Linked DNA regions of Medicago truncatula. The protein of the gene in region 4 binds, or shares a complex with, the protein of the main gene of each other region. Links are inferred from orthologs where the notes say so. Each region holds a gene or a part of one and is shown on either strand. Other genes may lie near its edges. The genes, in order: protein TIC 20-II, chloroplastic; protein TIC 20-v, chloroplastic; protein TIC 22, chloroplastic; short-chain dehydrogenase TIC 32, chloroplastic.

What was found.
Region 1: short-chain dehydrogenase TIC 32, chloroplastic (region 4) and protein TIC 20-II, chloroplastic share a complex: the UniProt entries of both Arabidopsis thaliana proteins name them as parts of the tic complex. The link is inferred for Medicago truncatula from reciprocal best matches to the Arabidopsis thaliana genes Tic32-IVa and Tic20-II.
Region 2: short-chain dehydrogenase TIC 32, chloroplastic (region 4) and protein TIC 20-v, chloroplastic share a complex: the UniProt entries of both Arabidopsis thaliana proteins name them as parts of the tic complex. The link is inferred for Medicago truncatula from reciprocal best matches to the Arabidopsis thaliana genes Tic32-IVa and Tic20-V.
Region 3: short-chain dehydrogenase TIC 32, chloroplastic (region 4) and protein TIC 22, chloroplastic share a complex: the UniProt entries of both Arabidopsis thaliana proteins name them as parts of the tic complex. The link is inferred for Medicago truncatula from reciprocal best matches to the Arabidopsis thaliana genes Tic32-IVa and Tic22-IV.

What each region holds. Positions count from the first base shown.
Region 1 is NC_053048.1:37,298,455-37,304,048, reverse strand, and holds protein TIC 20-II, chloroplastic, read right to left. Parts: upstream 1,342-5,594; 5' UTR 1,290-1,341; coding exon 660-1,289; 3' UTR 517-659; downstream 1-516. Other genes in the region: biotin carboxyl carrier protein of acetyl-CoA carboxylase, chloroplastic, read left to right, coding at 4,029-4,184, 4,285-4,341, 4,973-5,124. UniProt on the Arabidopsis thaliana protein: May be involved in protein precursor import into chloroplasts. Not redundant with TIC20-I, TIC20-IV or TIC20-V.
Region 2 is NC_053046.1:43,070,470-43,076,339, forward strand, and holds protein TIC 20-v, chloroplastic, read left to right. Parts: upstream 1-4,304; 5' UTR 4,305-4,459; coding exon 4,460-5,107; 3' UTR 5,108-5,333; downstream 5,334-5,870. UniProt on the Arabidopsis thaliana protein: May be involved in protein precursor import into chloroplasts. Not redundant with TIC20-I, TIC20-II or TIC20-IV.
Region 3 is NC_053044.1:50,226,048-50,233,223, forward strand, and holds the start of protein TIC 22, chloroplastic, read left to right. Parts: upstream 1-4,172; 5' UTR 4,173-4,288; coding exon 4,289-4,603; intron 4,604-4,685; coding exon 4,686-4,748; intron 4,749-5,540; coding exon 5,541-5,615; intron 5,616-5,876; coding exon 5,877-5,924; intron 5,925-6,282; coding exon 6,283-6,342; intron 6,343-7,027; coding exon 7,028-7,099; intron 7,100-7,176. UniProt on the Arabidopsis thaliana protein: Involved in protein precursor import into chloroplasts. Imported into the intermembrane space via the Toc translocon. May be involved in the import pathway used by proteins without a cleavable N-terminal pre-sequence.
Region 4 is NC_053042.1:48,849,785-48,856,689, forward strand, and holds the start of short-chain dehydrogenase TIC 32, chloroplastic, read right to left. Parts: upstream 3,009-6,905; 5' UTR 2,922-3,008; coding exon 2,816-2,921; intron 1,787-2,815; coding exon 1,555-1,786; intron 1,353-1,554; coding exon 1,273-1,352; intron 848-1,272; coding exon 694-847; intron 583-693; coding exon 504-582; intron 1-503. Other genes in the region: short-chain dehydrogenase TIC 32, chloroplastic, read right to left, coding at 4,366-4,530, 4,686-4,732, 5,684-5,768, 6,365-6,443. UniProt on the Arabidopsis thaliana protein: Involved in protein precursor import into chloroplasts. Part of the redox regulon consisting of TIC32, TIC 55 and TIC62.

The DNA.
Region 1 (5,594 bases), on a different chromosome or scaffold from region 4:
CATTACAGCAGCTCACAGCAAAAAAATTATCCTTGATCTGTAATCTAACAACATTAAGCCAAAGCACCATTACATAAGAACAATCCCTCAGAGCATGTAAAATAGTTCCTGACTCGGCCCCACACAAATTACAACAAGAACTACCCCATCAACCTACCATGAACCGCGAGCCACTGAAAGAATTTGATCCTCTCTTGAACTTGAAGTTTCCAAATTTTAATCCATAAATCATGAGATTTCTTAAACTCAGAACTGCATAACAAGTGATAAGTTGTTGCCACTTCTAGTACTTTTCATTAGGAAGTACATGGGCAACGTCAAATTCCATGTAAACCAAGAAGTGAATTTTGTTCGGGTAATGTTGTCTATTTGTCAAAGAATTTAGTGAGTTATCATGGATTCACTGTTTAGTTACGTTTTTCACAATCGTAAAATAACCCATAAAAGTTTATAAAATCTAACTTCATTTCACATTTCATCTTATACCACAAATAATGTGATACATCAAACACTCCATAAATTGAAAAGGATAATTAATTGTATTCATTCATTAATTCAAGTAACCCAAAATAACTAACAGAACAGCAAAAGAGAGGTAATTGTTTGTTTGATACAATTCAATACAACACATAGTAATCCTATAATCTATCATATGATATTCAGATTTGTCTAGCAGCAGCATCAGCAACAAAAGGCAGGTAAGGAGTCCTACCCAAAAGACAACACAAAGCACTATAAACAAAACACAGAATACTAAAAACAAACACAACATTATGCGACCAAACCAAAATCTTAAAACCTAATCCATATCTCCCAGGAGAGAAAATCCTCTGAAACAGCATCGGAAGAACCAGAAGCACATCTAATGTCAGAGCCTGCATAGCATTGAATCTAACATACTGTGGAAAAATAGGGTTCCTCACAATTCCCAAGTAAAGCGCGAAGAACGCTATGAACGAAGCGTAAGGGAGGGATCTGTAGAATGAGAGGAAAGGGATGATTGGGTCGAAGAGGAGTGCGACTTTAGGGTATTGGGTGAGAATGTTGTGACCATATTGAAGGGAATTGAAGAATGGAAGTGCGTATGCGGCGATTGAGATTAACCGTTCTGGTGCTGCGGGTGTGGATGTGCTTGCTTTAACGACGCCGTTTCTGAGTTTGAGTTTGAGTGATGGTTTAGTTAAGGGTGAGAATGAAAGGGAATTGGGTTTTGGTTTTAGGGTTAGGGTTGAGGATTTGGGGGTGTGGTGAAAAATGCAGGGACGGTGGAGAATAGAAAGGGAAGCCATTTTTGGTTTCAGAATCGGTTCTTGGTAACTTCTGCAAAATGGAATTAAACAACTGTTTTAGATCCTTTATCTGCTGCTGCATGCAGTTACTTTCATTGGGCCGGTAAAAAACTATGAGTAGTGATATTTTGGCAAATATTTTGGTACAACTTTTATTATTCTCTCTTTTCATTGGTAAAAAATATTGGAGAGAGAAATAAAAATATAATGTGAGTATGAGAGAGAAAGTTGTACAAAAGTTGTACCAAAATTGTTGTACAAATATCATTTCTCAAAAACTATAGGGTCTTGCTAACCATTGCCCAAAAGTAACATGTTTGCATTGATTTCAACATTTTGATTTTTAAAAAGTTAAATTTATCATTTTTCACTATTTTCTAATACTATATTTCTATTTTTATCCCCTTATCTAATGTCCCAAGGACAATGATTAGCATTCTCCAAAACTATATTATTTTTCAAGTATATATTATTTAAGGTTAATAGTGTTGTTCACCCCTATAATATATGTCATTTCCGATTTTCGCTCCTACAAAATTTTCAGTTTGATTTGCACCATCGTAAAATTTTTATTTTTCGGAAAACACCCCTAATAGGCCATTTTCATATTTTTTTTTCAAGAAATTTTGGTTTTTGAATGGCCTATTAAGGGTGTTTTCCGGAAAATAAAATTTTTACGAGGTGAAAATCAAACCGAAAATTTTATGGGGGCGAAAACCAGAAATTACATATATTACAGGGGTGAAAAGCACTATTAACCCTATTATTTATTTTCTGGTAATTTTTTTTTCTTTTTTTTGAGATTATAAAATATAATATGATTAATTGAATATCTTTTGAGTACTTTTTTAATGATTTTTGGAAATAAGACGAGATGTAATATCTTCACATATGGTGTATATGTATGTACATCTTTTTTTCGTGTTTTATATTTGTTCTTGTCATCGAATGTAAGAGTCTATTGGAGGTGGTGTGAAACAATTGTTGTGTTGGTTCACGGTGGTTAGAGCAGATTTTTCATGAATGTAAGAGGGTGTACCTGCAAAGATACCCCAACGCTAAAGTCAGTGAAGTTTCAACGAGCATTGAGAAGATTTCTTGAAATGAGAGTGTGTACCTTGTTTTCCATGTGACACACCTGTTTATAGAACTTGTGTGGATGTATTGGATTTACCCTTGAGGCACGATGGTCAGGCAATCATTGGATAAAATGAAGGGCTCCAAAATGCTTCGAGTATATGATTTTGTATGATCTGACTCTTCACGAGTGCATGTAGACCACAACATCCTTTGGATGCCTTATCGGGACTTCGTTGGCTAAGGTTTCGTTGTAAGTTAACGTGAATGGTACTTTATCTTGGAATCAAGCTTCACGAGGTGGTCGCACAGTTAAAGACATGTACAATGCAATAATAAACGAGAATGTTAGCGATGCTTGTCGTCTATATGATTGTGTTGATGTTCTTAAATAAAAGGTTATTCCCAAAGCATATTTTGATTCGCAGAGAAACGAAATGACGTATGAACGAACTTAAACAACAAGGGCTTCCCATCCACCTTCATACGCAACTATCACTCGAGTCTATCAACTAATAGTTGGGGGGGGGGGGGGGGGGTAACTGTTCTGGTATGGGCTGACACCCAACAACTAATAAGTTCTAAAGGGCTCCTCGCAAAAAGGAGTACATGGGGCTGCGGCATAGGAGTGAACGGAATCGAATGAGAACAAATGAACAGCTAAAGAGGCTTGTGGCATAAGAGCACACATACTGAAGATGAACAACCAGCAGGGTGTGTGGAACAAGAGCAATCTAATTAAATCTGGACAACCAACATGGATCAGTGGCACAAATCTGCCATGGACCAAACTCTCACAGTTGCCCAGGTAAAGGTACAAGGACTAAAACCTTAAATTGCCGCCATAAATATTGGCTCATAAGCATGAGGTCAAGTGCGTTCACTTTACACATATGCACCTACCGCCCATGCCACTCACTGATTTGAACGTCGGATTCACTTGGAGAAGAAGGCCGCAGGCGACTAAGATAAATGCAACAACTGAAGGAAATGTCTTACTTAAAAGCCATTCAACATCATCAACTACAAAATCTCAGGTTCGATAGGATCAACTATGTTGTAGGTGGATATTATCAATCACTTACATTGTTGAATATATATAACTATAAAATTTAGATTTCAATAATAATATTGTTTTATATGAGAAATTTAAAGTGAGGGGATGCTTAATTCAATGCAAGAAAGTCTTTAATATTTAAATTACAATTACAAAGAGATTTTCATTTACATTTTCTCAAGAGTGCTAATAGGGCATGAACTCGAAACTTAAACTTAATCAATATAATTAATTATAATAATTTTTTTGATTGATACTTCTTCATATTTAAAATATAAATACAGGCCCATCCCTTTGAATCTACAATGCCCAACTCAGCTGAAAGTGTTGGACCGAACTTTTTTTTTTCTTTGTATTGATCGAGTATAAAGTTTGAACCTTAAATTGTTTTTTATTTTTGTGTGAGTTTTCAAAGTAAATTATTTCTTACGAGAGAGAGTGAAAAATATTATTCACTTGAAAAAAAAAAAAAGTAGATGCATTGGATATCGTAAGTGTGCGCTAGTGTAGTTGAGCTACCCCACTGAACACAACAAAGAGTAAGTACCTTAGATTTCATCGATCCGACATCAATCAAAAAACTTGCTTGTTTCAGTTTCAGTTTCATGGCTTCCTCGTTGTCTTCCACTTCACCTTCTGCTGCTCCTACTGTCACTGTTGCAGCTGCAGCTTCCACCAAATCTGCACGCTTTTCTCATTCCTCCATCTCTTTCCCTCGTCTCTCTCCTAATTCCAACAACTCTCTCCGCTTTTTCACCAAGGTATCTATCTCTTTCCATATCACATTTTATCTTCCTAAATTTATATTTATACTTTCTTTTTAATTCAAATTGTCACTAATTTATGTATGTCTTTGTGCAGGGATGCCCACCTAATCATATGCTATTATGCCCCAGGGTTAAGGCTCAACTAAATGAGGTAAACATTCTCCCTTTTACACTTCATATCTATGAACACACAGACACGAACACCGAACATGATACTGACACGCAGTGCCGGTATTGTTTCCGTGTCAGACACCACCTGAGAGGCCTTTAATGTTTGTGGCTGTTTGAATTGACTTATTTGAGTTAATTTACTGACATAAACACTTGAGAGACTGTTTTGGAGAACTTATGAAAACAACTTATGATATGTTCGTAAGCTGTTTTCAGGTTATTTTCATATGTTCTATAAGATAGCTTATGGAAACAGCTTATAGATTATACGAAAACACTTCAATTTAATTTTATCTTTTGTTATAGAAGTAACTTATACGTAAGTGCTTATGCTATAAGCTGCAAATTAAGTTGTTTCTTTAAATCTGAAGTGTCAGTGCTACTGTAACATAGCTTTATGTGAGTTTAGATTGAATTTTCCTCATAAAAAAACACAAAATTACAATCATTGGTTGGAAAATTAACAGTTGAGTTTGTGATAAAATACATACATTTATGCTGCAAACTATAAGTTTGCCAAAATCTGTTCTCTTGATAGATATGTGCGCACTGCGTCCACATAGACATATGTTTCTATGCTGATTTTGGTCTCTTTTTTTGGCTTCAACAAGGTTGCCCTTGATGGTTCTTCTAATGATGTGCCTCCTAAAGCCAAATCAGATGTTGAACCACCGACCGCACCTTCAGTTGAACCATCTTCTTCAGTCTTGGCAGATCAAGAATCAATCTCTGAACTTTTTGATCAAATTGCAAGTCTTGTCAAGTAAGTACCCGGCTGCTTCAATCTTGAACTTGATAAATGCTACTCCTCTGTTCAAAATTAATACTACCTCCGTCCCTAAATATAGGAGCCTTTTTCCAAAATTGCAGAGATTAAGAAAGTTGGTTGTAGTATTAAATTTGTATATAATTACTATTGTTTTTACAATTTTATCCTTAAGAGAGAGTTAATTTATGTTTTCAATATAATATTTATTGTTGATTGAAGAAAAAGATGCAAAATAAATAAGGGTATGTTGGTAAAGAAATAATTAATGTACTTGAAAATATCAAAGGAGTCTTATAAAAAGGGACAAATTATTTTTTCAAAAGTGTCTTATAATTAGGGACGGAGGTAGTAGTTGTTTTACCAAAAGTAAAAAAAAAAAAAAATCAAATTAAGTGTCGTCATTAATTATACCTTCTTATTTTTCCCTCATTAATTATATATGAGACATGTAGTTTATATTGCAA
Region 2 (5,870 bases), on a different chromosome or scaffold from region 4:
TCATGTCCTGGAGCACTAGTTGTTCACAGCGGTGAGGGCTTCGGTCCTGATGAATGCTTTAACCATTCAAAAGCGGTGAGGGCTTCGGTCCTGTTTGGTACCACATGCATAATTGTATATTTTGAGGAGTCTTAGTGGTGTTGTCATGTCTTGCATGAGTCTTAGCGGTGGTGTCGAGTTGTTGCATGAGTCGTTGTTGTTGGTTTTAATTATCATTTGGTTGATGTTGTTAATGATGATATACTTATATATTGATGAATTATTTTTATGACAGGGTGATAGATTTAATTGATGAGTTAGATATCTATTATTGATGATATTGTTGATTATGAAATATATACATATATTGGATAATTGTAGTTATCGTCGTTGTTGGTTGAATTAGTAAGTGTTACTAAAGTTAAAGAAGTAAGAACATTATTGTTAAATATATGTAATTGTTTATATTGTTATGATGTGATGATTATGTTGTGTCGTTTATATTATTATGAGAAGATGTTTATGATAATGATTACGAAGTTATGATGACTGTTTATGGTGTTGAATATGAGGTTGTTATGATGTTACATGATGATGATTATGAATGTTGTGATGATGATTATGTGATGTTATCTATGAGTTGTTAAATGTACTTGATGATAGTTATGTTAAGTTGATAAGTTGTCTTTTATTTATGAATTGCTAATGGAATGTTTGATGAATAATTATTATTATGGAATGATGATGTTACGTATAGTTGCTAAGTTGTCCTCTATTCATGAGTTGTTAATAAGGTGCTTTGGTGGAGAATGTTAATACGAATTAATGATGTTGTTATGTTGTATATGAACTATGAATATGATGTTGTTACGTTGTTTATGTCATTGATTATGAAGTTGTCATGTTGTATACGAATTATAAGTATGACGTTATATGATTATGATTAAGATGTTGATTATGAAGTTAAATGATGTTGTTTATGATATCGAGTTATGAATGTTGATATGATGAGTACATGATATGGTTTAGGAGTCGTTAAAAGAATTATTATTACTAATTGATGGAGTTTAAGTTGTTAGATGCATTTTGATGAATTATATATTATTATTATTGATTGTGAATCTCACCCCTTCTGCTTGAAAATGTTGCCCTTCGTATGGGTAACTTGCAGGTAATAAAGATTAGTAGGAGTGGTGGCTCAACTGTCTAGGACTCTGATACGTACGGGATGGGATTTAGTTATATTTATTTTCATTCCTTATGTATCAATTTTGAAATTATGATGTGGAGCCTTTTATGGTCTTTTGAACAATGTTGTTGACTTATGCTGAGGCCTTTAGTGCCATAAACTGTTGTTGGATGTTCACGATGTTATTGATTTGAAAACTATTCCGCTGCTATGTTTTCATATTTTATCAAGTTGTTTTAATTAAATAGTATTATTTTCTATTTAAGAAATTTTGAAATGACGTGTAACATGCCCGTTGTGGAACTACTCTGATGAATATTTGTTATATAATTGTTTTTGGGTAACGGGGTGTTACAAAAAGTGCTGAAAGAGATAGTTTTCTTTATATATAGTATAAATACTATATATAACTAGCGAAAAAACGGGCACGTGACATGTGTAAATTATGAACGGTATTTTATATGAAATTTTGATTTTGATTAAAATTATAAGTACAAATATTTGTGAAATTAAAATTGTAATAAACCAAAAAAAAATCATGTTTATCTTTTACCACAACAACACAGTAGTTTAACAAATATAATATAAATTCTTATCTTTTTTTAATACCACCAAGAATGTAACATTAATATAGGAAAATTTGTTTAAGGGTATAATTGAAATTATAAAAAATTCAGCCCAAAGTCTCTATTCCCTTCATATATAGTATATATAGTATTTTGTCAAAAAAAAAAAAAGTATATATAGTATTGTTCATGTTGTAGTGGTATATTTCCTATTTTAATGAGATTTCATTTTTCTAATTCAAATTTAATATAATATTATTAAAGGATAAAATAGTAAATAAAATAGGCTTAATTGCACTTTTGGACCCCTAACTAATTTAAATACAAAACAGCCCCCTATGTTTTGATTTTTTTGCCAATTTTGGACCCCAATCCATTGTTGACTCGGTCAACGATGACGTGGCACCCAAAGTGAGGTGCCACTTGTCAATTTTTTTTTTTTGCCTTGGGGGTCCAAAATTGTTAAAGAATCAAAACATAGGGGACTGTTTTGTATTTAAATTAGTTAGGGGTCCATAACCGCAACTTTTGGAAAGATAGGGGTCCAAAAGTGCAATTAAGCAAATAAAATATTTTAAATGAATAGTAAAATCAATAGTATATACATATAAAGTAATGTTTTTATGCCACATGTTGCCTTTGTAATGCCCTGAATTCTGGTAGAACCGTGCACTTGCGGTTTTATCTCATCAGTCATCGAATCTATATAAAAATATGAATTTATATAAAAGAATGATATTTAAAATATAAAAAAATTAATTGAATGAATTCATTTTTTTTTTTAAGAAATATTTACTATTTCATAAATATACACATATAAAATGATTTTTTTTTTTTTATACTAAAGCTAGGTTATAACTTATAAGACCTTGCAAAAAAAAAAATTATTACCTTTAAACAATTTATCTAATTCAAATGAAAGATAGTACCTAAAATAAATCATAATTCGGTGGATCACAAATGAAACATTGTTGTAGGTCATCGAATCTATATAAAAGTATGAATTTATAAAAAAGAATGATATTTAAAATATAAAAAATCAATTGAAAGAATTCATTTTTCTTAAGAAAAATTTACTACTTCATAATTATACACACATAAAATGATTTTTTTTTTTCACTAAAGCTAGGTTATAAAGGCACTGCAAATAAAAATAAAATAATTTGCTCACTAATAACATAATTTTGAATTCCAAATTATTTCATAAAAAACGTAGAGTTTTTCTATTCACACCCTATATATTTCTGGTTACACCCAGTTTTTTTAAAAAGTTTTTGATAATACCAAAATTGTCCTTTTATATAAATTTTCTTAAAATCTTGATTTCATTCATTGTCACTCTAAAATTCCACTCTCTTTCACCCACCAACGATCAAACAATCCTGATGTTCAATTAATCGTTATGGAAGATTAAAGAGTGAATCAAAACATCTTTCATTCATACTCGATTGCATATAAATAAGTGAATTTTTTCTTCTTTTTCAATAACGCTGGTTTCAATTTTCTTCTTCTTGTTCAACTGCACTATACGACAGTTTCAGTTTTACATTGTTGAGGTTAACTTAAATTCAGTTTAAGTAGGTTCATGTAAACTTAGTTTACATAATCTACTTCAACTTAGTTTACATAACCTACTTAAACTGAGTTTAAGTATGTACACTTAAACTCAGTTTACATGACCTACTTAAACTAAGTTTAAATGTACATACCTAAACTGATATTACGTATAATCATTGAACAAGGTTGAACTTTTAGATGTACACTTAAACTGAGTTTACATGACCTACTTAAACTGAGTTTAAGTATGTATACTTAAACTCAGTTTACATGAGCTACTTAAACTAAGTTTACATGATCTATTTAAACTGAGTTTAAGTATGTACACTTAAACTTAGTTTACATGACCTACTTAAAATAAGTTTACATGTACATACTTAAACTGAGATTACGTAGAATCGTTAAACAATGTTGAACTTTTAAATGTACACTTAAATTCGGTTTACATGACTTACTTAAACTGAGTTTAAGTATGTACACTTAAACTCAATTTACATGACCTACTGAAACTAAGTTTACATGACCTACTTAAACTGAATAGGGATCTAGGGTGTAACCAAGAAAAAAGGAATATGCTTTTTGAAAATTAAATTTTATGGAAAGGTAATTTTGTCATTTTGGGGTGCAACCAAAATTAAACAGGGTGTAATTAGAAAAACTCAAAAATGTATTGATCAAGTGGTTCCAGAGTACATTTTAAATAGGTGGGAGCACCCAGGTTCGATTCTCAGGGGTGATAATTTTAATTTTTAATGATTTTTGCCAAGCTGAAAAAGAGGTTTCGAGAGTGATTGGATTAGAAGTGAAATTTAATTATTGTGATGGTTTAAATCGTAAAAAATCATTAATTTAAGATGAAGTGAATATGCAAATAATAAAATACTTGCTAAATTTTTGCAAAATAAAATAATAAATGTTATTATTCTAATGGAGTATACATGAAAACTTTTGATTGGTTTGGATAAATTGCTCATGAGTTTTCAAAGGCAACCTAGACATCTAATTGAAGTATAGACCATACTAAGAATACTAGTTTGAAAGAGAAACACGTTCTACCATACCTATCCTTGTCCTTCTTCTCTTTGCCCTTTTCCCACTTTCCAGTTCCTATCTTTACCTTACCCTCCCAAACTACCATTCATTCATTTTCAAGTTTGAAGCTTTAACCATGGCAAGCTCCACCTTCTTCTCCTCTGTAGCTATATCATCTCTCAGTCACTCACGAAAACCACTTCAATCAACCTTTCTCCTTTCTTCACCAAACCCTTCTTCTCTTTTCACACTTCCAAAGAAATTCACAAAATCCAACAAACTCAGAACCCTAATTGTATCCAAATCCAATAACAGTGATTCAGCTGATGCCAGTGACCGTTTAATTTCAGCTCTTTGTTACTTCTATCCCTTTTTTGATGGCATTCAATATGGAAAATTTGTAATCACTCAATTTTACCCAATTCAAGCCATTGTTCAACCATTGATTCCTGCAATTAGGGTTTTTAAAAGCTTTCCCTTTAATGGGTTTCTTGTGTTTTTGACACTTTACTTTTTTGTTGTCAGAAATCCTAATTTCAGTAAATATGTCAGGTTCAATACAATGCAAGCTATTGTTCTTGATGTGCTGTTGATTTTTCCTGATCTTTTGGAAAGAGGGTTTAATCCAAGAGGTGGGTTTGGATTGGATTTGTTGATGAGTTTGGATAGCACTGTGTTTTTGTTCTTGTTGGTGTGTTTGATTTATGGCTCTTCTTCTTGTATTTTGGGTCAGCTACCTAGATTGCCTATTGTTGCTGATGCTGCTGATAGGCAAGTTATGTGAATGTAGTTCATTTGTATTGTATAGAAACTTATTGTTTAAATTCAGCTTATTTCATAGTGGAAAAAATATTGATTTTTTCACTTAATTAATAGCAAGCCTAGAATCTTGTAAGGAAACAATTTTATTTGTTTCTCATTTTGCTGTATTGTTATATGATTTTCAAATTCATTGGTGAATTTGAGACACTGCTGAACTTCAATACTAGTATATTGTTTATTGAATAGAACTTATGTCTTTAGTTCTTATTACATTGTTGATTTTTAGTTTAAGCTATAGTGTTATCCTTTGAGAACACTAAGGATATTGAGGCCTGTCACTGTTCAATGTGATGATTGCATATGTTGCTTTGCAATGATTGCAGTGTTATTATGTAGATTTTTCTGTAATTTTCAAACCTACGCCGATCCTAATGTGATGCAGTTGCTGACAGTATTGCAGCTGCATTAGTTGATGCATTAGTCGATTTGGTGTAGCCACAATTTAAACCCATAGGTTATTTGTTAGGGAGAAAAGGAGACATAGATCAATGAAACAGATTTCATTTGTTTCGTATTTTGCTGTGTCTTTATATGAATTTCACATTCAGGAGTTTCTTTGTTTGGCTATAGTTTTTGGTGAATTTGTGACACTGAAAAACTTCCTTTACTATATAGATTGTTGTTAATTGAATAGAACTAATGCCTCTAGTTCGTATTAGATTGTCGGTTTTTTAGTTTGATCTATACTCTGGAAACAAAGTGTTAATTTTTCAGCACACTAAGGA
Region 3 (7,176 bases), on a different chromosome or scaffold from region 4:
TAAGCACTAGTGCTGTTCATTAGGTTACAAACACATTCTTTTTACTTCGTTAGAAAAACACGTTAGAATATATTCGATCCTCTGTGGAAAAATTAGAAATGCATGTTGACTAAAATGGACTATACACAAACTTATAAAATTATCTCCTTTTGTGGTAATGTTTTTTTATGGAATCTCCTTTTGCGGTAATAGTGATGTTATTTGAACACAATTTTGACATGAACACTATATAAAGTATATTTTGGTTAAATCGACATAAATTTAGGAGTTAGTTGAAAACGAGGCTATATTGCTAACGCGTAAGCGGCCACATTTGCATGTTCTGAATAAATTTAATATGAGAATTTTCAAAAAATAACATGCCATAATATCTCCCCTACTTTTACTAAAATAGTCGGCCACTCTTTTTGAATCAAGCTTATTTACTGACTTCATCTTTCTCACTTTTTATTTTATTTTATATGCGGTTTACATGAATTACCAAAATATACAAACACACAAAGACACCGTATTTTTATCAATTTTCTATGTCCATTAACATATCTGATTGAAAAATAGGGAAGTGTAAATTTTACTAAATGTTACACTGTTACTGGTGGAAGATTTTTCTTCTTAAAAAAATAGAGATTAAACTGCATGCACGATGTTGTGCGGTGAGCCTTTTTCTTTTTGTATTAGTCTGATATTTAAACATAAAAACCACCGTCTTTATTTATTCTCCTTGGTAGGTCTGCATACACCAATAGCAACTAATAATAAAAATATCCGCGCTTATCCTTCATCTAGTATAGATCAAGAATCTGGAATTTATCAACAGCAAAAAATAGTATGATCTATTTCCAATAGACATGTGTTGGAAAAAGATGAGAAGTGTTATTAAATTTAAAGGTGGGTTGTTACATTTTTTTTTTGGTACATGGTTGTTAGATTATTTAATAAGTATGAGAAAGTATAACTAAATCATTTCATTGTAATAAACCATTTAATATAATGAATATTAATAAAGAGATACAAACTAGTAGTTATAGATATAGCCATTAATTGGATTTGGCCATTAATAAAGATATAGCCATCATGTAATAAACCATTGTGTTACAGGAATATATTCAACAAAATCAGCTTATCACACTCTTTTGAATCGCTTCCATGATGTTGAAAACAACCACAACTTTAATTGGATTTGGAAACTCAAGGTATCTTCCAATATTCAATTTTTTATGTGGCAAATTTGCCTTAGTTCTCTACCAACAAAGTCAATTCTTGTATCTCGTCATATAGCTCCATCAGCGACTTGTCCTATTTGTAATGCATCAGAAGAGGCTATGATCCATTGTCTTTTGACTTGTACAATAGCTAAAGAGGTTTGGAAGAAGTGCTTCAATACTTCTCTTATTCCACCTGCGGATGACAGCTCCTTAGGTTCTTGGGTGGAGAATTGTTTTAAAAATCATGGAATTTTCCCACTTTTAATCATGTGGAAGTGTTGGTGTGCCAGAAATAAGTTCATTTTTGATGGCATAAAGACACCATTCTTTATAATTGTAGCAGAGTGTAATGCTCTTTACATGCACACTGTCAAGGCATTTGGAATTGGGGGCACATGTGCTCGTGGAAGTGAGGTTGCACGTGAGGTTTGTTGGAAGAGACCGGATACTGGATGGATTGCTTTGAATGTTGATGGGAGCGCTCTCACTAACCCAGGTGCAGCGGGCTTTGGAGGCATCATTCGAAATCATGAAGGTCGATTGATGCTTGGGCTTAGTGGATCTGTTGGTTGGTCTAATATCTTGTATGCCGAGTTGATGGGTTTGCTTAAAGGTATGTTGTTGTGTTGGGAAGAAGGGTACCGGAAAGTTCAATGTTTTACTGATTCCTTGAAAACTATTAGACTCATTAATGAGGCAAACACATTATATCATCTTTATGGTAATGAGGTTGCTTTGTTGCGTAAGCTGCTGCAACGTAATTGGCAGGTGCATATATCTCACATCTACCGCGAAGGTAATTCTTGTGCGGACTGGTTTGTGAAGACGGGTGCTAGAAACAATGTCGACCTCACAGTTTGTAGAAACCCCCCTACAGATTTAGGCCCCTTTTTAATTGCTGATGCTAATGGTACTCGGTTTGTGAGACCTTAGTTTTTTTTTTCTTCCTTTTTTCTTTGTAACCAAAAAAGATATAGCCATTAAGTTAAGGCATAAGCAACTTTATTGATTTACCTTAAAATAAACATCAATCTTAAGAGTTTTCCAACAAATAAGAAAAATCAAGCCTACAAGTTGAACCAAATATATGAGATGTCATTTTGATCGAATGTGAAAAACATCCGCATCTCTTTTACATCAATATTTCGATGTGTGGAACAAAATTAGCAACAATAAGTTATTAAAGTAACCAAACAACCACATACAATAAAATAAGATAAAAGGAGGAGGAAGAAGAGGAGAAGAAGACAACAATATTTGTTTATCCAATTCGGTCCAAATCGATATATGTTTGGAGGAGATAATTGTTCTCCAATCCACCATCAAAGAGTTTCTTACAAAGAGATACATGGGCTCCCCGACCTTAGAATTTCTCCCCAATAGACACTAATGTTTAGTCAATTGATTCTCTAAAGGTTCCCTCTTTTGTACTCTCTAAGCTTGTCTTTTTTCACACTCTTAAACCCTAAACAAGAGGTCATATTTATAAGATGTGTTCAACCCTTAAAACTTGCCAAATACAAAAAAAAAAAAAAAAAAAAAAAAAACGTGTACATGTGCTCCACAGATGGAGCATTGTGCCCCGAGCAGTAGCAAGAAGACTATTGCAAAGCACATCCATGTGCCCAACGTATCCTTTTTCTATGTGCCCCATGCATGAGGTAGTAGCACATAGTCTTCGTGAAACACAATTTCAAGGCATATTGAACAATTATCCACATTGCTCTTAAATTGATGGTGATGCCACTTTAACCATCAACCACCTTGTTGTTTGCCCTTGCTTCCAACTACACATGTATTCTCATAAGATTTCATATTTACCTCTTGAACCCTCAGAATTACTTCCAGTCTCTTTATGGCCCTTGGATCCTACTACACTAGGCATTTTAGGTAGTTCCACAAGTTTTATCATAGCCTTTCAACCTTTGGAGTGATTATTTACGTCTTCTTGAAGATTTCCTTGCTCTTAATTGTTTCTATAAAGCTACTTGGTTTCGAGTCTTGCATCTCCTCAGCCACAATTAAAGCATAACACACAAGAATTCCACAGTCATACTACTTTGGTACAACAATATCCCTCATTTTCGTTGTCTTCAAGACACAAGACATTCACACTCTTGGCCTTGTCCCAATCTCGATTTGGTCTGCTTGTGATATGGTGGTCAACAAATGCACCATCACCCTTCAATGCCTATGTACACTATTGTTGAGTCAAGACTACTTGTATCCTCACCTTCAACAACTTGAAATCGTTGTCTTCAACAATTTTCTCAATATCCCACTTTATACTCATGGTGCTAGAGTAACGATTTGTAAAACTAGAGGGATTAATTTACAAATTTTGAAAAACTATACAGATGAATTTTCATGACTAATTTAATCTTTTTTAAAATTTATAGAGGCCAAATTGCAATTTATAAAAAATAATTAGGGAACAATTTGCAAATATTAATTGAAAATTCAAATGTTTAAATCAAATTCATTTCGTTTATATTTTTTTATCTGGTTCATGCACCGGCAAAAAATGAACTACTATAAAATAACCAATGAACTAGTCCAAATACTAAGCGATTTGAGTCTTTTACACATATGATCAAAAGTTCAATTACCACCAACTCGAAATTGCAACTTTCGTCAAAATACTCCCTCAATTTTGCGAAACTTCAAAACCTCCAGTATTTTGTCAAATGTGTCTATCGATTTTGCATGTCATAGAGAGTAATGGCAAAATCAGAGAAGAGTGCAACATACGTCTGACAAAATCAAGGAGGTTTTTGAAGTTTCGCAAAATCGAGAAAGATTTTCCACAAAAGTTACAATTTCGGAGAAGAAATGATTGACAATTCACTCAAAGTTCAATTTCAGAAGAGATAATTGACAATTTCGACAAAGGATTTGACGAATGTTAAATCAAACCTATGAACTCATCTTATACATCAATTGTTTCTCAAGGAAGATTAACCACTCGACTCTAATTCACTATTGGGCCAAAACAAACTAGACGCTTAACCCACAATTTTGACAAAATCCGAGTTTGTAGTTTATCCACGATTAGAACTTAGAAGTTAGTAGAAGAAACAAAAATGGAGTCACAAGGACAGTGGAATCCGCTTCTATCATTTTCGCGGTTCATCCATCAAAACTGTAACCACCTTGCAACTCGTTTCGAAGACACAAGAAAATTCGCTGGAACCCTAATTCAATCTCACACTCGCACCAAACCGGCTTTCGCCGCTACTTTAACTTCCAACCACGTCGCCAAATCTCTCGCCGGAACCTCCGTTTACACCGTCAGTAGTTCCAACAATGAATTCGTACTTATGTCTGATGCTGAAGGTGCTAAGTCCATCGGATTGCTTTGCTTTCGCCAAGAAGACGCTGAAGCTTTCCTTGCTCAGGTAAGTTCCTCTCTCAGTAATTTGTTCATTTTTTATTTTCTTGATTTCATGCTGTTAATGATTTTTTTGTTCGTTGTTTTAGGTTCGATCAAGGAAAAATGAATTTCGAGGCAATGCTAAGGTTGTTCCAATAACTCTTGAACAGGTAGTTATTTTTCCATTTCATAATTATCTCCTGCTAATCCTGGTTTTATCACATTTTGTTGATGTGAAAATGAAACCATCCTGTGTTTCGTACTCGAATGCTTTTAATTCACTAAGGGCTTATTTGAGCTTATTTAGTGGCATAAATTTTGTGAAACCGTTTGGGAGAACTTATGAAAACAACTTATGACATTTTTCATAAGTTTTGTTCAGCTTATTTCATAAGTTGTCCAAGATAGTTTATGAAAACAGTTTATAGCATAAACAAAAACAATTTAACTTAGTAATCCAAATAAAATAAAATAAAACAATTTAACTTTATTTTATCTCTTGCTATAGAAATAGCTTATATAAGCTGATACATAAGCGCTTATCATGATAAGTGTTTGTACTATAAGGTGCAAATAAGTTTTTTTTTTATCCAAAAGGGCCTAATTCATGTATCAATGGCACTCAATGAAATTATGGTTTGGCTTCTATCATATTGAGAGTCAAAGTAATTAATTAATTATGTTGGAAACAATTCATTGTTAAAAACCTTCAAGACTTTTAAGAATCAGTTGTAAATGAAATGATTCTACGTGATTTTCCCCCTTTGAATTCGTATCAATACGGGCTATGTTACTATCAGCATTTAGAACCATGTGCTACTGACATAGCACCTACAACCATGAATGTCACACCTTTCCTTTTAATAAAGGGTAAGGGGGAACCTGCTATCAGATACTTTTTGAAGCATAATAAGTATGGTTTTTATCCTGTATCTGTAACAACTTTTCTGCCTGCGTTATAGGTATACTTGTTGAAGGTTGAAGGTATTGCATTCCGATTTTTACCCGATCCACTTCAAATAAGGAATGCACTAGAGGTTAGTTCCAGTTATAATTGTTGCACACAACATATTACTTAAAAGCCAAACTAGTATTTTCATCATCTGAGTCCTATACCAGTGTCACTATGGAATGAGTTAAGTCTTATCAGTTTTAAATGTAAATCATGGAGGAAAATAAGCTTCAGTAATATGCATGATAGCTGCGGTGTGGGAATTCTGTGACTGAACAGGTAGCATATATGTTCAAGTGCTGAACTGTTGGATTGTGTTTAATTTCATTTTCGTTGTGTTTATCAGCTCAGAGCCGCCAACAAGGAAGGTTTTGATGGAGTTCCTGTTTTTCAGGTATGTTTTCTTACTTTGGCAGTCTCCAGTCCTTCAGAGGACTGATTGGGCAATGGTGAGGGTGTGGGCAGGAGATACAGATTGACATGTGTTTGTCGTTTCGTTAATGTATATATCAGTAGCTATAAGTGTGGAATTCATAATATTTTATTTTCACTGAACTTACTGCCAAGTAATTAACTGCAGCCAATGCATGGTACGGAACATATAAATTCCAAGACTGGCAAACAGCTTAAAAACCATCGAACTATTTTAGTATCTGCCCATCTGGAGTCTAATTTAAATATTTGAAAAATATTGGTAGTAATTGATCATGTTAATTTTTAACCTATTGACTAATAATCACATTTGCTTACAGTCAGAACTTTTGGTTGTGAAGAAGAAGAATAAACGTTATTGCCCTGTATATTTCTCTAAGGTTTGTCTAACCCATTGGTCTCTTTAATTGCAATTCTGGTCCCTCTCTTATGGTCAATATGCAATTTTGTCCCTCTATTTTTAATTTAGAAATTTTGTCCCTCGATATTTTTAATTACACAATTTTGGTTCCTCAGTCAAGTTGTCATCCAATTTTTAACTATGATGATGATGTGGCGGTCAAATACGTGACATTGAATATGTGAAATTGACATGGCTATAGAGTGCTTATATGGTGTTACATGTCTGCTGTACACATATGATGCTTATATGGCTATATAAACAATTTATTTTTATTTTTTTTTAGCAAAGTAGAATGCTTAGGACCCGAATTCACACCTAGGCTTTTAAACTAACATTCTTAACCACTACACCAACTCAACGGGCTACCGTAATATAGCAAGTATGAATGTGTGTGTAATACAAACAACACTTGGTGGCCGTGTTAGCTTCACACGTTCAATGTCATGTCAGCATTTGACTGTTGCATCATCTTCATTGTTAAACATTTAGGGACAACTTGATTAATGGGCTCAAATTGAGAAATGAAAAATAGGATGAACCTTAATTGCAGATTGGCAATAAGAGAGGGACCATAAGTGCAATTAACCCCAAATCATAGTTAGGCATGTAGCTTGATGGAATATAATCATATGATAGTTTTCGTTTGTTGTTTAAATGGACAGGAAGATATTGAACAAGAACTATCTAAGGTTTCCAGGGTATCTAAAGGTCCTGGAGTTTCCAAGCAAATAATGGTATAGAATCTCTCATCTCTTGCTCTTGTTTTTGTTAGTCTGTCAGAAACTTGTTACTCTGTATGAAACTATATGAC
Region 4 (6,905 bases):
GTAGATAATTAAGCAACTAATTGTACATAACAAGCAAAGTTAAGGCTCTATCTCGATAAACAACTTAACTAAGCGCACTTATCGAATAAAAGTTCCTCATATAAGTGCGTATGTATGAAATATATCTATGATAAAAGATAAAATAAAGTCAAACTATTTCCATATAAGCTAGAAGTTGTTTTCATAAGCTATCATGTAGAGTTCATGGAAATAAGCTGAAAACAACTTAGGGACATATCATAAGTTGTTTTTATGGACTCTACCAAACAGGCCGTAAAGCCAAAGAGGTCATGCACTCATGCTATAGTCTGATTATGTTTAGTCAGAAATATCAGTTTCTTTGTCAACTGATAAAAGCTCAAGGGACAAAGAAAAGAACACATACCTAACTAAGGACATCCTTTTTATTAATCAACCAAAACATTAAGACAAGTGAGGTACAATAATGCTAACTTATATTGAATTATGGTAAAACATATAACATGTAGTAGAAGTAAGCATACCTTGAGATGCTTTGTAAGTTGGTTGGCATGTAATATGTTAGCAAGTTTTGACTGTCCATATGCACCCCATCTGCTGTAACTGTATAAAGAGGTCACATTTCCAAGTTTAATTCACCATGCAACTAATGTTAGCCAATTGCTAATAAAATGTAATCAAGGAAGAAAACAAAATCAATCACATGACATTTACCTTGATTCGTCATTGATTTTATCAAAACGGATTCCTTCAGAATATGCGAACCTATGAGCCTCTGAGGCGACATTAACAATTCTTCCTTCTTTCTTACTTTTGCGTGTTGTTTTCTTCATAGTATCCAACAAAAGATTTGTCAAGAGAAAATGACCTGCGTAATTACAATAATTCATAAATAAAATCAGAAATATTGCTTCTTCTCATCCTATGTATTAAAAGATACAGTAAAATTCTCAACAAAAAAAAACAGTAAAATAGTTACTTGATGTGTTACATAAGTTGATTGAGATGGATCAGAAGTGTAAATTACACATATTTCAGTGATGTACAAACTATCACTTTTATCCCTGATATTGTTAAATTCTTTGAATTAGAAATCAATAAAACACATGTCCTGTGCTCCCTATAAACTATTGCAAGTGGCAAAGTTCTCCTCCCTTTCCACTCTAGTGCTGGAAAGTTTGTGAATAATTCATATTACAAGAAGAGTAAAAGGTTATTAAAATTGATTAATGTCACTGTGTCGGTCATCAAATGAATTTTCCGGAGAATAAAACAGTAACATGCACCACATACCTATGTGATTGGTGGCAAACTGCAGTTCAATGTTGTCTTTGGACAACTTGAAAGGGCATGCCATAACTCCTGCATTATTTCTTACAGTTGCAAACAAACAAACAAGAAAAATTAGTACTAATGTGTTGACTTGAATGATTGTAATTAAGAAAGCACAATTGGAAGTTGGAACATAGAAATAACAAACATATATAATGAGACAGAACAAGTAACTAACAACTTCAATAAAACAGTAAAAATAAATCTGATAATTATATGACTAAATTAATCTCATTTTCTTACATCAAGATGTTCAGTGGACGACCAGAAGAATTATACTCAGATGCAAATTTCTTGACAGAGTCCAATGAGCTGAGATCTAACTCCATGGCATCAAGTTTGGCTGAGGGAATGTCCTTGAGTATTGTATCTTTGACATCTTTAGCAGCAACCAAGTTTCTCACACCCATAATCACATGCACACCGCGCAAAGCAAGGACACGAGCAGTCTCAGCGCCAATGCCGCTGGATGCTCCTGTTACCACAATGACCATATACTATACCGCATTAAAATAGTCACACATCTCGATATTTATTTATCAATGATTTCAATGTAGCATGCATATACAGGGTTTCAAATTGTGGTCGTGGTTGCATTACAATTTACAATCACAATTTTTTATATTTCAAAAATTTGCTGTCAAAATGTGCCCACAGTTAGATTCACAAACCATTTTAAAAAATCTTATGGATATGTAATCCAGAAGAAGATAAAGAGAAAAAAACTAAGAGATAAATCATGATTAATCTAAGAAAACTGTTTGCAAATTTCAATATTTTGAGATTGGCTGTAGATCATTATTATTTACTACCACCACTAGTAGTTTTAAAGGGATATTGCACCATCCAAGCAATTGGACTCAAGTGGTTAATACGCTTTACCAAAAACGAATTGTTAGTGTTCAGGATAACTTGAGTTTGATTCCTGGTGAAACAATTCTTGGCGAAACTTTTCTTACAAACTCCGGACCTTTCTCCTGAGTTAACACAAAAAAGTGGTATTGCGGAGGCTAAATTGGATAGAGTTAAATATGGGGGGTCTTAGATCTTTATCGAAAAAGCTTGTAAATAATTCATCCCAAAACCTATGCTTATGTGATGCAAAGCTACAAAGTAATACAATACTGCATAATTTTTTTATGCAATTTCTGGAAATCAAAATTGTATTCAACCAAAAGATATAATAAAATTAAACTATTTTCACAAGTTGTCCTAAAGAACTTATTAACATAAGCTGAAAACGTTTATGAATATAATATAGGATATTTATATATATAAACTCCCTCATCAATCTCACAAATGTTTATGTTAATATATAAACTCAAGTATGCAAATTGAAATAGACACTAAAAAGATTTTCGTGTAGATATAATAGTAGTCTTCATCATAATCTTTTTAGCGTCTGTTTGAATTTACATATATTAACATAAACATTCACGTACGTATAAAATTGTTTGCATGAAGAGATACCATTTTGGGAAATGATTAAGAAAGAAAGATCAACCAGTAACAATGGCAGTGAGACCAGTAGCATCGATTCCATGTGTGACTTGTTCAGCAGTTGAGTTCCATGAAAAACCAGAAACACCTTTCTTGCTGAATGGCCACATATTGCGTATCAATCTCTTTCTCTGCCGTGTGTCACAAAAGCAGTGACCGAGATATATTGCAATTGCAGTGCTTGTTGTAACTGACGTGACGCTACTATATATCTGGATGATATGGAAACACATCAAACTTTTTTTATCTCTTTTTATTATATCATATATGTATATATTGAAATAGTAGAAAAAGTAAACATTTTATCTTTGTCCATAAAAGTAATTATTTTATCTGTCGATATTCAATTTCTTCATTCAAAAAATAATCTAATTCCATTTCTGTATTTATTCAAACTTTTTTCTTTAATTTCAAATTATGGGAAGATTTTTTCTTTTTCCGTCTAAAATCATTAAATTTATTTCATTTAATTATTATTTTACAACTTATTTCATTACATTATATTCTATCTATTGAGATAAAAGGATTGAAGTATACTAAATGAGGAAAATGTTTTCTTCAATCAAATGATTTAATTTGTATACACCAACAACATTTATTTTTGAAAAAATGTCAACATGTTTTCTTCAATTCCTAATTTTTTTATAAACTAAAAATTTATTCAAGAAATAAAAAAACATAAACATAAAATTAGGGGGACATAAGTCTAACTCAATAAAAGATAAAAAAATAAAATAAAAAAGAGTTCCTCAAACGATATAAGAGTTCTTTTCTACCCTTAGTAATTTAGTGCACTGGATTGGATGTGGCCAAGTTGGTGAGGTGGAATTTAATGTGTGGTACTAAGTTGTTTAGTTGAGTTGTGTTGTTTCTACAATTACACTCACTCAGTCAGGGAGTTGGATTGATTGAAGGAATGGTTGTCCTCTTGTCTTCACTCCTCAGAGTGGGGTTCTTGCTGCATAAAGTGCTTGCCTTATTGCCTTTTTTTTTTTTTTTTTTTGGTAGAAGCCTTATTAATGACTTTATATTTGTACTCTACCTTGTGTTTAATATAAGCCATTTTGCCTTTTGCAAAAAATAAAAATGTAAAATATGAATTAAAAAGGTAAACTATGAATTTGAAAATCTGTAGTATAAAAATATTTCATTATTTCAAAAAAAATATTTCATGTTAATTACTCTATCCGTTTCAAAATACATACATTAACATCACAATGTCGCACAAGTGTATTTCCGGAGTCTACCACTTCACTCTAAATGAACAGCAAAACCTAATAATAATAATAATAATAATAAACCAAAGAACAAAAAGGGCAATATTCGGTTTGATTTAGGAGGACCATGTTTGGACCCTTTTACAAGAGGTCCATATTAAGGGACCCTATTTCATATTGAATTACAATCTTGTTTCAAACGTGACAATCAATTATGTTATAGATGCATTTCACATTGACATGAACAATGAATGTTATTTCCATTTTCTTTTTATCAATTAGTTTCGTGCACACACATTACAATGTCATTTTCATTCTTATACAACACTTGGTTATTCTATTTGTCCTTGATCAAATTCATGCTGAAATCCCAAAGTTTCTTAGCCAAATCAGCATCCTTCCCATGTGAACTTGATTTGGCCACATTATTGTCTGAAAAATATTCACCACTAACTCCCTTCACTTGTGGGTGCAATGCTACATAGCAGGTTGTGGCTGCCCCCTACATTTAGATAGAGGAGAAAGTTAACATGCAACTAGCAGAAAGCTTATAAAGTTATAATCTATGTTTAGTTAATAAATGTTTATAACAACCAATATTTATTTGACATGACCCCTCACATTTATAAATAGTAGGTCATAATGATTTTGACATACCTGTGGAACGTTTTTCATCACAAGTTTGCCAACCACATTTACTATACCTGTTGCATAAATCAAACATCAATAGTATATCTATAGAACTCAGCTACTGTCAATATCTCTACACATGAAAAAGCAAACAAACTTTATGGACACTGCAGAATGCCAGTGTGTAAACAAACAAACCAGAAAAACCACCCAATTCAAAATCATCAAATGTATTTATAGTAGTAGTCAGATAAACACAATGAAGTGCTTGATGACAATAAAGTAATAATGTAAATGGTTAGGGAAGAATAGTGGAGAGACTGACAAAGCATCCAACTTCTAGGATGATTTTATTGTTGTTGTACATTATGGATGACTTGGTGTACCAATCAAGTGCTGTAAATTACTCACTCTGTCCTTCAATATTAGTCAATTTAGCAAATAATGCACGAATTAAGAAACGTAATTAATTTTGTTGATTTTATAAAACGTATGGCTTACTTTAGAAAATTAGCCTTCTTTAATAGTATAAGAAAGATAAATTACTAGAATTGAAATAAAAATAGTACAAACAAACAAAATAGTTAGGAGGGAGTACAAAGTCTTTTTGTTTCAGACTCTCGGCGATCATGGTGATCATGTTTCCGATGAATGCTTACAAGGTTGATTGTGGTCTTTAACATGTCTATATTCTTCCTTGTTAAAAAAAAACATGTTTGTATTCTTCAAAATTCAGAGGGGGGCAACGACCAACCTTAATCATAATATTATTAGATGGTGGGTTCTGAACAATAATCATGTACCAAATATAGGATAAAACACCTAGAGCAATGTAGACAGATAAGAACTTATATCATTGTAAAATCCACCGAAAATTTCTTTAGGACAAGTAACATGAAGTTAACAAAGAAAGATAGTGCCACATAACGGTAGATGATACAGAACAAATAATTTAGAATGCCACATCAGAGGACTTGTATAATAATTCATAGACAACCTGAATAGTATAATGCTATAATAGTTACCGTTGATTGCACTGTTATGACGGTAAAGATTGGTGGCAATGCCTCCTGGATGAAGAGAATTTGCAATGATATTCACACCATCATCCTGATCAAAATGCAACAAGTAATGTTATAAATCAAAGATAATTATTGTGGCAAAACCATCAAAAGGGAGGGAGACTGAGAAAGCTATGATTATGGTTGCCAAAAGGGATGCAAAGTTTGCGTCTTTTTCAGAGACTTGAATGAAGGAACACCAACAACTAAAGCCTGTTCCAACTAGGTGGAGTTGGAATGGAGGCGGATAAAACATCCACTAAAGTTGATGTTTAACAATATTTGGTCATTGATATTTTATAATAAAAAAACCAGTCACCAATTGATAGGTGATTAAGATAGCAGATGCTGTAAAAAGGATTATGATTTATAAGTGTAGTTTGAAGACAAATGCTGTAAAAAAAACAAGTAACTCTAAATCAAAATTCTTCCATTCACAGTTCACACTGCAGAAGAAAGTAATTTTCCACAGAAGAAATATGCAGATTTAATGCTACAGCACTTCTAAAAATAATAAAATAGAACTTGTTACATCGAGATTAAGGTTAAAATAATGAGAGATAATAACACTATCAATAAACTACTTCACTGGATAACATGTTAAATAAGTAACACCACTATATAGTAGAAGTAAGCATACCATACCTTGAAATGTTTTGTAAGTTGGTTGGCATGTAAAATATTAGCAAGCTTTGACTGTCCATATGCACCCCATTTGCTGTAACTGTATACAAGGAAGCAAACATAATTAAATTGGAATAACATTACTCCAGTCGACAAATACTACAGAAACAACTTTTCCACTCTTAATTCTTCATGCAACTAAGATAAGCGAATTGTTTCAACTGTAAACAAGGAATTAAACATAACTATCTACACATAAGTACATAACACATCTCCTTTCAACAAGTATTACAAGAACAGCTCCATTGTTAGTTCTAGTTGTGAATCAGTTATAATTTCCAAACAATAATAAATGTCATGTAAGTGGTGGAAATGTAAAAGAGACATTTCAAGAGGTGAAAAGATGTAACGATATTCTTAGAGAAATGAAGTCAAGCTACTTGAAAATGTGGGATAATAATGTCCACTATGTATGCTATATTCATGAACGAGAGTCTCATCCCGTCCTGTAACCAAGGAAACCTGTGAAAAGTTGAAGCATCCCCAACCTTGACCATGTGAA